2 linked regions of the Saccharomyces cerevisiae S288C genome follow. Changing the gene in region 2 together with the main gene of any one other region gives a genetic interaction. Each region holds a gene or a part of one and is shown on either strand. Other genes may lie near its edges. The genes, in order: CCH1 and ERG10.

Evidence for each region.
Region 1: mutations in ERG10 (region 2) and CCH1 together harm fitness more than expected from each alone (negative genetic interaction), as found in Saccharomyces cerevisiae (2 studies listed by BioGRID).

What each region holds. Positions count from the first base shown.
Region 1 is NC_001139.9:923,069-930,949, reverse strand, and holds CCH1 (calcium channel protein CCH1), read right to left. Parts: upstream 6,255-7,881; coding exon 135-6,254; downstream 1-134. Other genes in the region: GPI1 (phosphatidylinositol N-acetylglucosaminyltransferase), read left to right, coding at 6,488-7,881. UniProt on the Saccharomyces cerevisiae protein: Voltage-gated, high-affinity calcium channel that functions together with MID1 to mediate calcium entry into cells. Required during conditions of environmental stress.
Region 2 is NC_001148.4:496,215-499,899, reverse strand, and holds ERG10 (acetyl-CoA C-acetyltransferase), read right to left. Parts: upstream 1,805-3,685; coding exon 608-1,804; downstream 1-607. Other genes in the region: SMA1 (Sma1p), read right to left, coding at 1-235; ATP-dependent RNA helicase SUV3, read right to left, coding at 2,181-3,685. UniProt on the Saccharomyces cerevisiae protein: Acetyl-CoA acetyltransferase; part of the first module of ergosterol biosynthesis pathway that includes the early steps of the pathway, conserved across all eukaryotes, and which results in the formation of mevalonate from acetyl-coenzyme A (acetyl-CoA).

The sequences.
Region 1 (7,881 bases), on a different chromosome or scaffold from region 2:
TTTTCTTTTCTTTTTTCCCTGAATAGTAAAGTTTGACATGCTCTAGAAAATCACCTCTCAATAAAACAAATTTAAATTATTCTTATTGTTCATTTTTACATCTATAAAGCCTCTTAAATATGCCCTTATATAATTTATCTATCAATTAGATCATTTGCGCTATCGTCATTATTATCTATTGGTTCTTCCGGGGGCTCCATCGTAGAGTCTTGATTCATTCTCGGAGACCACATAAAATTGTTAACACCGTAGTCCATTCTAGGTGTCGCAATAGGTTCTCTTTCTAAAATTCCTGGAGCAGGTTCCAGATTTACGTTTATATTCGAAATGTGAGACGATACTGTGGGATCTTTAACATCCCATTCGGGTTCAATGGTACGTTTCATCCTGCAATGAAATTTCCATCTTGTTACCACCATCTCCAATACATCGAAGTTTCTTTGATTTTCTAAGTACTTGTCCACTTTACCCAGGATATATAGATGATGGACATATTGATCAATACCTAGACATTCCCTTGCAGAATAAGCTGTATAGAGAGGTATTTGTAATAACAAATCCGAGAATCTGATACATCCATTATAAGCATTCGTATAGTGAATGCTTTGTACAAATCTTCTGTACTGTAACTTCCTCTGTATGATCTTTGCTTTATCAATCGTATTCAGCTCTTTGTTCAGTCCGATCAGGTCTATTTTGACGTCATATGGATCATCTGGGTTAACCTCCATGTAGTTCTCGACTAGACTTTTTATTGTCAATCTACCTTCCCAAATTTTAAATGAAAGAGGACCGTCAAATGAATGCATTATTCTTGGGAGGTAGGACAGCTCAAGCTCGCCAGTTCCATCAGTATCAAATTTGGACCAAGCTTCAATGTATTTTTTTATCTCCGATCTGTTGATGCCAGAGCGAGATCCACCGCTACGGTAAACATAACTGAAATTACCAATAATCAACGAAACAAACATATTCACAAAAATATACATGGAAATAATATTCCACGACATTAATAACAAATAGGCATATGTCTCTGATCCACAGTCCGTATAGGTTGAATTATCATCAGAGGAGCAATAAGGTTCTGACACAGTTAGGTCGGCCATGATATAATTCCAGCCCTCACCAAAACTACATCTAAACAGAACAATCATGGATTTGATTACAGTTCTAAAATTTATGTTATCGGTCGTATTACTCCCTAACCTTGTTAGGCCGAAGATTTGATTCAAAGCAATAGCATATACTAAAAATAAAACCCCCCAAGTGTAGGTCAATGATAGAATAGGCGGTAAGCTTGCCATTGCGGTTTCTAATAGTTCAGTTAGTGTGTCATTTTGAGGAATAATAAACAAAAATATCACTAACAGGAAAAACCCCTTTATATTGTGGAACCAATAGTGAGAGGCTGGAACGTGGAATGCTACAGCGTTCATAATAAAGGCTATAATTATGATACTGAGTCGTATGCTGTTCCATTTTTGCCTAAAATATAATCTTGGTCCTTCACCGCACATGTGAAGTGCCTCTTGAATTAAAAAAACACTAGTGGAAAACATAAAATAAACACCTTGATAACCTATCAAGTTTCCTGGATTGTAGCTTCGACTCAGGAGCATGATTATGTGCAAATAAAGTACTACCTGAAGAAACGATGCGTAGTAGAAATTTTTTTTCTCCACTGCAAGTTGATAGAAAAATTGCCTAACTCTTGATAACTCAATTAAATTTGGGATAGCTTTTGGCTTGGCCTGAGATAAAAGTTTCTGGGATTCCAGCCACGCCTTTTCCTCAATGGTAAAGTAAGCGCTTCCTGTTGTCCTTGCTTGGTTGTTAACAATGAATGAAACAAACAAGTTCAGGATGAAAACCATACTTAAAAAATTAAACAGAACGAGGAATAAAGCATTCCCTGCTGAACCCATTACCGTAGCGGGTGTACCTATTCCTGAACTATTCATCATATTTTCCAACAAATCAACCCATCCTTCCAAAGAAATGATTTGGTATAATGAACTAAAAGCGCTTGCGAAAGAGTCCAAATGAAGATATGGTTGCTGGTAAACCCTTGGAGACATGATATCCCATTGAAAAACGGAATTTGAATATTCATTGTAACAATCTGCACGGCCCAAACTTCCGTCATTGCAAGTACCTAAACGGCCTTTAAAAATGCTTAAGCCCCAAACTGTAAATGGAAATAGCAAACTGAGTGAAATCAACCCAGCTTCAAAAATTTTATTTAAACCATCAAACATAACTAGGTTAAATGTTTGACGAGCTGTGTTACTGATCGTGAGGCATCTGAGGGCCCTCAGGGCTGTCAATCCCTTGAAAATCCTAGACAAATTTCCATTGTTTTTTAGGTATGCAATTAAATTAATCCACATTGAGATTAGGACACAAAAATCAATAAAGTTCCATGGATTCCTCAGGTAAGCATTTGGAGAATATATAAATCCGTCAGCTACTGTTTTCACGATAAATTCAATTGAGAAGGCACCAATGAAGGCGCAATCTAACGCCGAGGACCAATTCCAAGTTCCCATCTTGTGATGCATACGATATAGAGGCGTAACATAACATGAGCAAACAATTAGTAAAATGGTGGCAAGTGCGAAAATGAATACAAATACATCTCTTTCAATATGATGAAAATAGCTCCTTTTATTGTATAGATCAGTGCTATCCTCGAAAAATCGTGATCCATCAGTCCTTTTTCCAGTGCTTGGTGGTACCAAGCGTTGACAGAACCTTCGAAATCTATGCTGAGGAGAAAAGAAATAATATGAGTAATTGAATAAAGGGTACTTTTTTAAATAATCTAGCTTCTCATCCTCGTACTCATTCAACTCCAAGATATACGTCCTCCCATTTATATCGTTCGTTTCTGTAAACACAACGTCACTATTTTTATAAAATGGATTATTAGCAAACATTCTCAGCCTTTTTAGTGACGGAACCCCAATTGTGAGCTTTGATAAGCCCTTTTTAAATAGGTTTTCTGAAGGTGGCTCTTTGAATTCATCGGCCAACTCCCCCATATTCTGCGCTATGTTCATTATCGCGGTTCCTCTCATAAGAAATTGCTTAAAATCTCTTGTATCTTCGTTCCTATGACCTCCAAAGAATTTTTTACGAATTCTCGCAACCAAACTAGCGTGTGTATATTCTTGTATTTTCTGAGGATAGACGAACTTAAGATAATGCTTAATTTGCTGTGGTCGTTTTTCTTCTTCTTTCACTTCCATGCTTTCTGATATTAGGGCAATGAAAATGTTCAAGATCACTGAGTTGGATAGTAGAAACCATATAATAAAAAATACTGAGCAAAAAAAAGTTGAGGAGATGTTTGGTGAGTGTTTTTGGAGGGCATATAGGATATCCGTCCAATTTTCAGTTGAACCTATTATAAACAAAGAAAGAAATGAATTCGGTAGTGAATACATTCCAAATGGCTGGTCTGCCATTTCTTCTGGAGGAATCACGCCTTCGAAATACACAGCCATGATTATAGCAACCAAAAAGGTGAAAAAAAAGTAAAAAGACGATAAGTTCCAAATCATAACACCATTACTCAATATTTGTTTCCATAGTTTTTTTGTTAAATTGAAAGAAATAATCACCCTGTAAAATCTGGATATGTGGAATATGGATAGCCAGGCATACATATGTCCTAGAACCCCTTCAACAGCCAGGCAACTAATAACCAGAGTAATAATTGATATAATAAAATCGTAAACGTAACTAGGTTTTGTTAAAAACTTCCACATATTGGGCAGATATAATACTAACCTTGCCAGTGATTCGATGAAGAGAACAATCGAAATTCCCCTGTCAGTTTTTAGAAGGATATTGTTACAGTTTGCCGAAGTCGATACTTTAACAGAGGCGCGCATACCTATATCGCAAATAATAAGTATGACAAAGATAAACTCAACGTGGGAATAAATAGCTAGTCCTTTTTGGGACCAATTTGGGAATTTTGTCTGATTCGCCTTAAGCTTAAAATATTTCCAGTAGCCTGTTACTATGCGAGCAACATAACCTGTCTTTCTAGAACCATATATGAACTTTTTCTTTTTGTACTCCTCATTGGCTATTTCAAAAGATGATACCAACACTGCAATGAGTAGATTTAGCAGCCAGATAGTTAAAACAAAGATGCAAACAATAAAAAACAAACAGGCAGCCATTTCATCCGAATCCATCGTATAGTACATTAAGTCAGTAAAAGTATTCGCACTCATAATGACAAAAACGAGCTCCATGGAATTAACAATATTATCAAAACTAATTCTGCCGTTGTAGGGGTTGGCATTGGAAACACATTTCGAATATTGTGGGCAAAGAAAGCCTTTTGAAACAGAACCTTCTGATCCGTCTTCATAGATATAATTTTGTTTTCGTTTTGTTACTGGATCTAGGTAACCACCACAGAATTGCATATCGTACTGGTAAGTATCGGTAGGATCTTCAGGGTTAAACCATACACATTGTCTTCGAAAAGAGCCCTGAAAAATCTGTACTCCCAAAATCCCAAAGAAAATCCAAAAGTAAACTAGCATTGAACTAACATTTACCAACTGTGGGATACCATATTTCAATCCCCTTAGAATTGAGGGCATACCAGTATCCACGTTTACAAGTCGAAGAATCCTTAATATAGCAAGGGGCTTGAATATTCTTATGCCTGTTTTTGTATCATAACTTTTTATGGATAAAAACATACCTAGCCAAAAACTGACAGAAGATACCAGATCTATTCTATTCCACGATGATCTCGCAAAGGCTCTTGGGGTGCCAAAAGGCCTCTGATTTTCCTTTGCCCCATAAGGTTTCGTCAGGGAAGTACTCAACGAACTTCGTTGATATTTTGTCTCTTCTCCCGGCGATATGATCCTAAATGGAATAATGAAATCTATTAGCTTTCTACCATACTTTTCTCTCAGATATATGTATAGTTTCATAATTCCAGATCTCTGTAAGATTGATTTATACTCACGTCCATAGGCTTTAAACATTTCAGAATCGTCCCAAAATCCAAACGCAATTATTTTAGCAATATCATTGCCTGTAAAGCAAGCTGATAAAATAAAAATGAAATAGTCGGTCCAGTTAGAGAAACGGTATAAAAAAACCACATTGTGAGGGTTATATGTCCTTATCGCCAGGAGAATGGCATAAAATGTTAACAAAGTGTTGTAAAGTAACGAATACCGCCTATGCAACAAAAAACGAGCAATTTTTATTCTTAGCGGATTCGTAGGCGAGAAAACCCCAAGAGAATGTCCATAAAGCACAAAGGGCCTTGATTCCAGTTTTCTTTGAAGGGTTTCAAAATCTAGAATGTCTTCAGCATACTCAATAACTTCTGTTTGGTCTTTATCTTCTTTTTGCGGTGATAAATGATGAAAAAACTTTGGACTGGGTTTCTTTCTTGAATTATTAATAGAGCCTTCTAGACCCTCAGATACCGAACCATTCTGCGCGGGTTCGGGTGTTAGATGAATTGATCCTGGAGTAGCGCTTGCTCCTACATTGGGTGTATGAACGTCAGGTATAGATTCTTGTTCTCCTTCTCCTCTATCTTCTCCAACGTCTGATACAGGACGGCTTTTTTCTGATTTTAATTGGGGTAGCCATGTCAGGCCCTCTTCGTCTATTGCACTTTTAAATCCCTTTTGCAAATCTTCAAAATCATCCATATCATCAGCGGCAATTAGCGATAAAACCTTTGCCGACCGTGGAGGCCTATCCGTTGAGCTTGGTGAATTAGAAACACGCCTACTAGATGATCGGCTATAACTACTGAAGCTACGCCTGCGTAGCCTTTCATCATTTAAATCAATATACTGCGAACTAGACTTGGCAGATTTTGTAGAGGGTGAAACATTACGCCGGGAAGATTCAGCGGCACCAAATGATGCTGTTTTAAGTGAGAGTTTAGGCCTGCTCAAGTTTTCATGACTACTCCTTCCGACACGAGTACGAAATATGTTGGAGATTAAGGAGCTATCTTTATCATTTCCATTGTACTCGTCACCTTTTTTTTCTTCAGTACTGTGGATGCTGCTCTCTGGTGGCACGATATTTAAAGCTGGTGGGACCAAAGCTTGTGGTTTTGATTCTAGACGGTTACCATCTGTTTCGCTGTTATCCTCAACATTTTCCGTCATTACTGCTGCATTGTCCCCAAATGGATTGGTATTTGGCTCAAATGGTTCCGTAAGCGTCCTTTTTCTCCCCTGCATAGTACTAACAATATATTCTATTTAGTAATGCCGTGTATTTTGATTTTCCTTATGTTAGCTTGTCACCAACCATTGATTCATGATCTTCTATCTCATCTATATTTATTTTCAGTGAGAATGCCGAAATGTAGAATATGAAAAAAACCTACCAGAACATAATACCAAAAAGAATGAAAATTCCTCTGTGAACAGGAACCTTCGAATTCAGGGGCGGTTTTATACAGTTAAATGACATGCCAAATTACATTTTCTGGCCATACGAATCCTTGTTCGAGAATTCCGCAGCTCAAGGACCTCAGGTAGCTTTGGCAATTTCATTTGAGAAGACGCATTTTGTTGTCTTAGGTGTTTGCGAACCTCAGTATTTAGAAGAAGTAAGCATACGGCCCCCTTATTCAGTGGTAGCTACTAAGAACAATGGAGCGGAGGGTTGGAACTACAAAGTTGCTGATCCCTGTAATGTCCATTTTAGAATACCCAAGCTGAAATTTATGCAATTCTATTCTTCTGATCCCATCTCGCTCATCATACCAGAAAAAGAAGTTGGTCTTCATAGTAGTGTGGGTGAAACTCTGAACTATTCTAAATTAGAGCAACATCCAAGATACAAGAGAGATAATAAGAAATTGAGTGAAACTTTGAACATCATTAATCTATTCCCCGCATATTGTAAAGCATTAAATGAGCTTTACCCGTTTATTCAAACATCACAGGAAAATTTGAGGGGTACTATGCTTAATAGTGTCGCAGCTTGGTGTTCATCTACTTGTATTTATAAAATGGTCGCAAAAATTGGTTTTTATTTGACTTTTGTGATCTGCTCTATTGCTAGTCTCGTATCCTCGTTATTAAATTATTCGCACTTTCAGTTGGTAAATTACTCGGCATTTGTCCAGCAAATCGATCTTCGTTGTCAACAAATTTGCTATTTCCCAGTACAGTATGAGCGTATTAATAAGAAGGATAACATACAGAATGTTGGCTCTATGGTGGAAAAAGATAATTCTAATAGTCAATTCTCACATTCATATATGCCTTCTAAATTCTATCCCGATTATATTTTATTGTATAATACAATTTGGCTTATTATTAATGACATTTCATTTGGTTTAATATTGGGGGCCATACTTATTGAGAATCGAGATTTCTTGGTGTCGGCATCCCATAGAGTATTGAAGTTTTTTTTATATGATTCATTAAAAACAATAACTGAAACGTTAGCAAATAACCCCCTTGGCATCAAATTAAATGCAGAACTTGCGAACTTTTTGAGCGAATTATTTCTTTGGGTGATAGAATTTTCTTATACCACATTCATAAAAAGACTCATTGATCCGAAAACCCTATCATCTTTGCTCACGTTAACGATATATATGATGTTTCTCGTTGGCTTTTCTTTTGCTGTTTCCCTAGCGATTGATTTTTTTGCAATTTTAAGTTTTCCAATATATGTTTTTTATCGTATCAGCAGTAAACTGTACCATTGTCAGTTGAATATTATGGCTAGTCTTTTTAACCTGTTCTGCGGTAAAAAGAGGAACGTTTTACGAAATAGGATTGACCATAACTATTTTCAACTAGATCAATTGCTATTGGGAACATTATTATTTATTATTCTAGTGTTCTT
Region 2 (3,685 bases):
ATTCTGGGACAGGTGGCAATAAGGTAACACCCTCTCTTTTTTTCAATTCCATTTTATGATTTGCCGTTTCAGTTCTAGAAGTTTTCAAAGCAGAGTTTCGTTTGAATATTTTACCAATGGATTTTGAAAATCGTTTACCAGCACTAAATTCATGCTTGGATCCCGAATGTTGGAACAGGTGCTTAACACTCACAATTTCGGGATATTTATTAGGACCATCATTAGTACATGCCATTTCCTCTTTCCTCGCCACCAGATTTTAAGGCAGTTGATGTTTGCTTCCAAGGGAGAAAAGGAACTTATAACGGTTAAAATTAATAGAGCCTGAAGAGAATGAAGGCAGCCAAGACATTGATTAACATCCTACAATTGTAGAGCAGTCAAACGAGTTAATACCACAAATGTCAGTAATTAGTGGAACTTGTGCAAGTATCACCCGGCCAGCTTGCCAAGGCGGAAAAGTAAGTCAAAAGGCACACCTCAGCGTTTGAGTACCTGAAAAACGATGAATCGCAAATAAAACTTTAAATTATGCCTGTTATACATAAAGCCATTTATATATTTATGTATTTTATGAAAAAGATCATGAGAAAATCGCAGAACGTAATCATATCTTTTCAATGACAATAGAGGAAGCACCACCACCACCATTACAAATGGCGGCAACACCGATCTTACCTCCTTCTTGCTGTAAGATGGATAGCAGTGTAACAACCACTCTAGCACCAGAACAACCCAATGGGTGACCTAGAGCAACAGCACCACCATATACATTAACCTTAGATGGGTCTAGCTTCAAAATCTTAGTGTTCACCAAACCGACAACCGAAAAGGCTTCATTGAATTCAAAGTAATCAACAGAATTGATGTCTTCGATGCCAGCATGTTTCAAAGCCTTTGGAACTGCAAGAGATGGAGCCCATGTAAAATCAGCTGGTTGATGAGCGGCCTCACCCCAACCTTTGATAATAGCCAAAGGCTTCAAATTCTTTTCCTTCAAAACTTTTTCGGAAACCAAGATGACGGCTGCAGCACCATCGTTGATTGGAGAAGCGTTAGCGGCAGTAACAGTACCGTTTTCTTTTTGGAAAACAGTCCTTGCAGATCTCAATTTTTCAACGTGTAATCTAGCAGGTTCCTCGTCCTTCGTGACTTGAGTATCAGGCTTACCTCTAAATCCCTTAATGGTAACAGGTACAATTTCATTGTCGAATTTACCTTCCTTTTGAGATTTTTGAGATTTTTGGTAGGATTCGATGGCAAAATTGTCTTGTTGTTCTCTAGTAATATCCCAATCACGGGCACACTTTTCTGCGTGTACACCCATGGCTAGACCATCGTACGCATCGTTCAACCCATCTCTTTCGACACCATCAACAAGAACAGTTTGGCCAAATTTGGCACCCGCACGGGCTGCTGGCATGTAGTATGGTGCGTTAGTCATAGATTCACAACCACCAGCTACGACAACATCAGCATTACCACATTTGATGGATTGAGCACCCAAAATGATTGCCTTCATAGCGGATGCACAGACCTTGTTAACTGTGCTTGCAACGATATGATTACTCAAACCGGCAGCCAAAGCAACTTGTCTGGCCGGAGCTTGGCCCAAATTGGCAGAAAGAACGTTACCAAAAATAATTTCGTCAAAATCCTTGGATGCATCCAATTCTGGAACCTTAGCCAAGGCGCCTTTTAAAGCAACAGCACCCAATTCCACTGCTGTCTTGGAGGATAGAGAACCCTGGAATGAACCAATTGGGGTTCTGGCAGTCGATACAATGTAAACGTTCTGAGACATTTTGAGTACGTCTAATCTGTATAAATATATATGATATGGCGCTTGTTTTAGGCTACCTTTTTTCAGAGAACTAGAAAACGAGTAGGCTTAGCAGTGCTCTTAATGGAAGCGCTTGTTCCTCTTTTATATATTTTACTGCCCTTTGCTCAACGGTGGCCTATCAACCTGGCCACGAACGTGTGGTGGGCTAGTAGTACCGTACTCTCCAGCGAAAAAACCGGCTTGGGCGGTAAACGACAGGCACCTCGTTATAAGTGACGTGCCTGTTAGGAAACGATAAACCCGGCAGGGCACAACAATGGCATCATACCAGAAATGTATCATGTTAAGGCTTTCAAGCAGTGTAGCTGTTTCTATTTACAGGATATATCGTAGATTATGTACGCAATCTTCTTCTCGAAGATGAGAGGTGACCTCTTGTAGAACCAAAGGGCTTATGTGCGTAAGGATTCTTCTTTAATCGATCAAGTTTCTCGAAAATAATCATCTCACAGAAATACTTCAAATCTTTAGCAGATTCCATGTCAATGAAGTAGTTTGGGTACCTGTTGCTGAGCCAGAAGTATAGAGTAATGATGTTGTACAATGACTCATAAACCTCTAATGAATAACTCTCATTCGGTATGCAATTGTAGTCCAGTAGGTTAAAAGGTAATCGGTATGACAGTAGGCCTCTTGTATGCCTTTTTGCTATTGTTTCGCAAAATTTGGTGAACGCCTTTGTGACCATAGGCATGTCCTTCACGGGCGCATTGCTTAGTTTCAGCTTGTCGAAAAATGGGATATCTTCCATGTGCTCGAATAAGCCAATAACTTTCAGTTTGCTCTTTAAATCAGATAACGTGAACAGGTTGTCAGAACTTTTCTCTAGCTCATCTGAAATAGTCTGCAGCAGGACACTGGTCGGCGTTCCTGGTGGGAATTGTGTCATTAGTTGAGCACATATTTCATCTGTAGGCCATGTAACCGCAGTTTTTAAATACTCCACAGGTGCTTCAATAGCTTTTCTTACACTTTTCAAAACTTTTGATTCGAAACTGGTGATAAAACCCTGAGGAACACCCCCGGAGGCAGATCTAGATTTGAACCTTCCCGCACGACCACCTATTTGTTTGATTTGAGAAGAAGTCATTTCCATTAGTTCTTCACCATTATATTTCATATTTGTCGTGAATACAACTCTGTCAATAGACAGGTTTAAACCCATACCAATAGCGTCTGATGCTACCATTATGTCATACTCTCCATTGTTGAATAGGGCGGCTTGTTGAACACGTGTTTCAGGCGGCAAAGAGCCATAAATTACAGCAACTTTCAAATTGGTGTCTTTCTCTATCTTTAGCTTGAGATCCAATATTTTCTTCTTTGAAAACGCAACGACGCAATCTCCTTTGCGCAAACCTTTGATGCCATCTTTGATAGGTTTTTCTTCAACACTTAACTTTCCTAACCTCTCATATTCATTAATCGTTAATTTATCGCCAGTCATTTTAACAATGCTCTTAACCAAAGGTAGAACACTCTTTTCACCACAAAGATGGACCTCCTTGGAAACGACACCTAAAAGCGCGTTCGTCCAAGCCCAGCCACGATCCCCATCAGACATCATTTGAATTTCATCAAGAACAACAACGTCAAATTTTTGATTTATTGGCACCATTTCTACTGTGCCTGATGTCAGCCCTGCTGAATTTCCTCTATCATCCAAATCACGAATAACTTCCTCTCCAGTCAGTAAATTGCATCTTATCTTTTCTGCATGAAATCTATCGTACACTTCCCTTGCTAGCAGTCTTAACGGCCCTGCGTAGTACCCACGGTCCACGGATTTCAATTTCTGTAACGCTCTATAAGTTTTGCCTGAATTCGTGGGCCCAATGT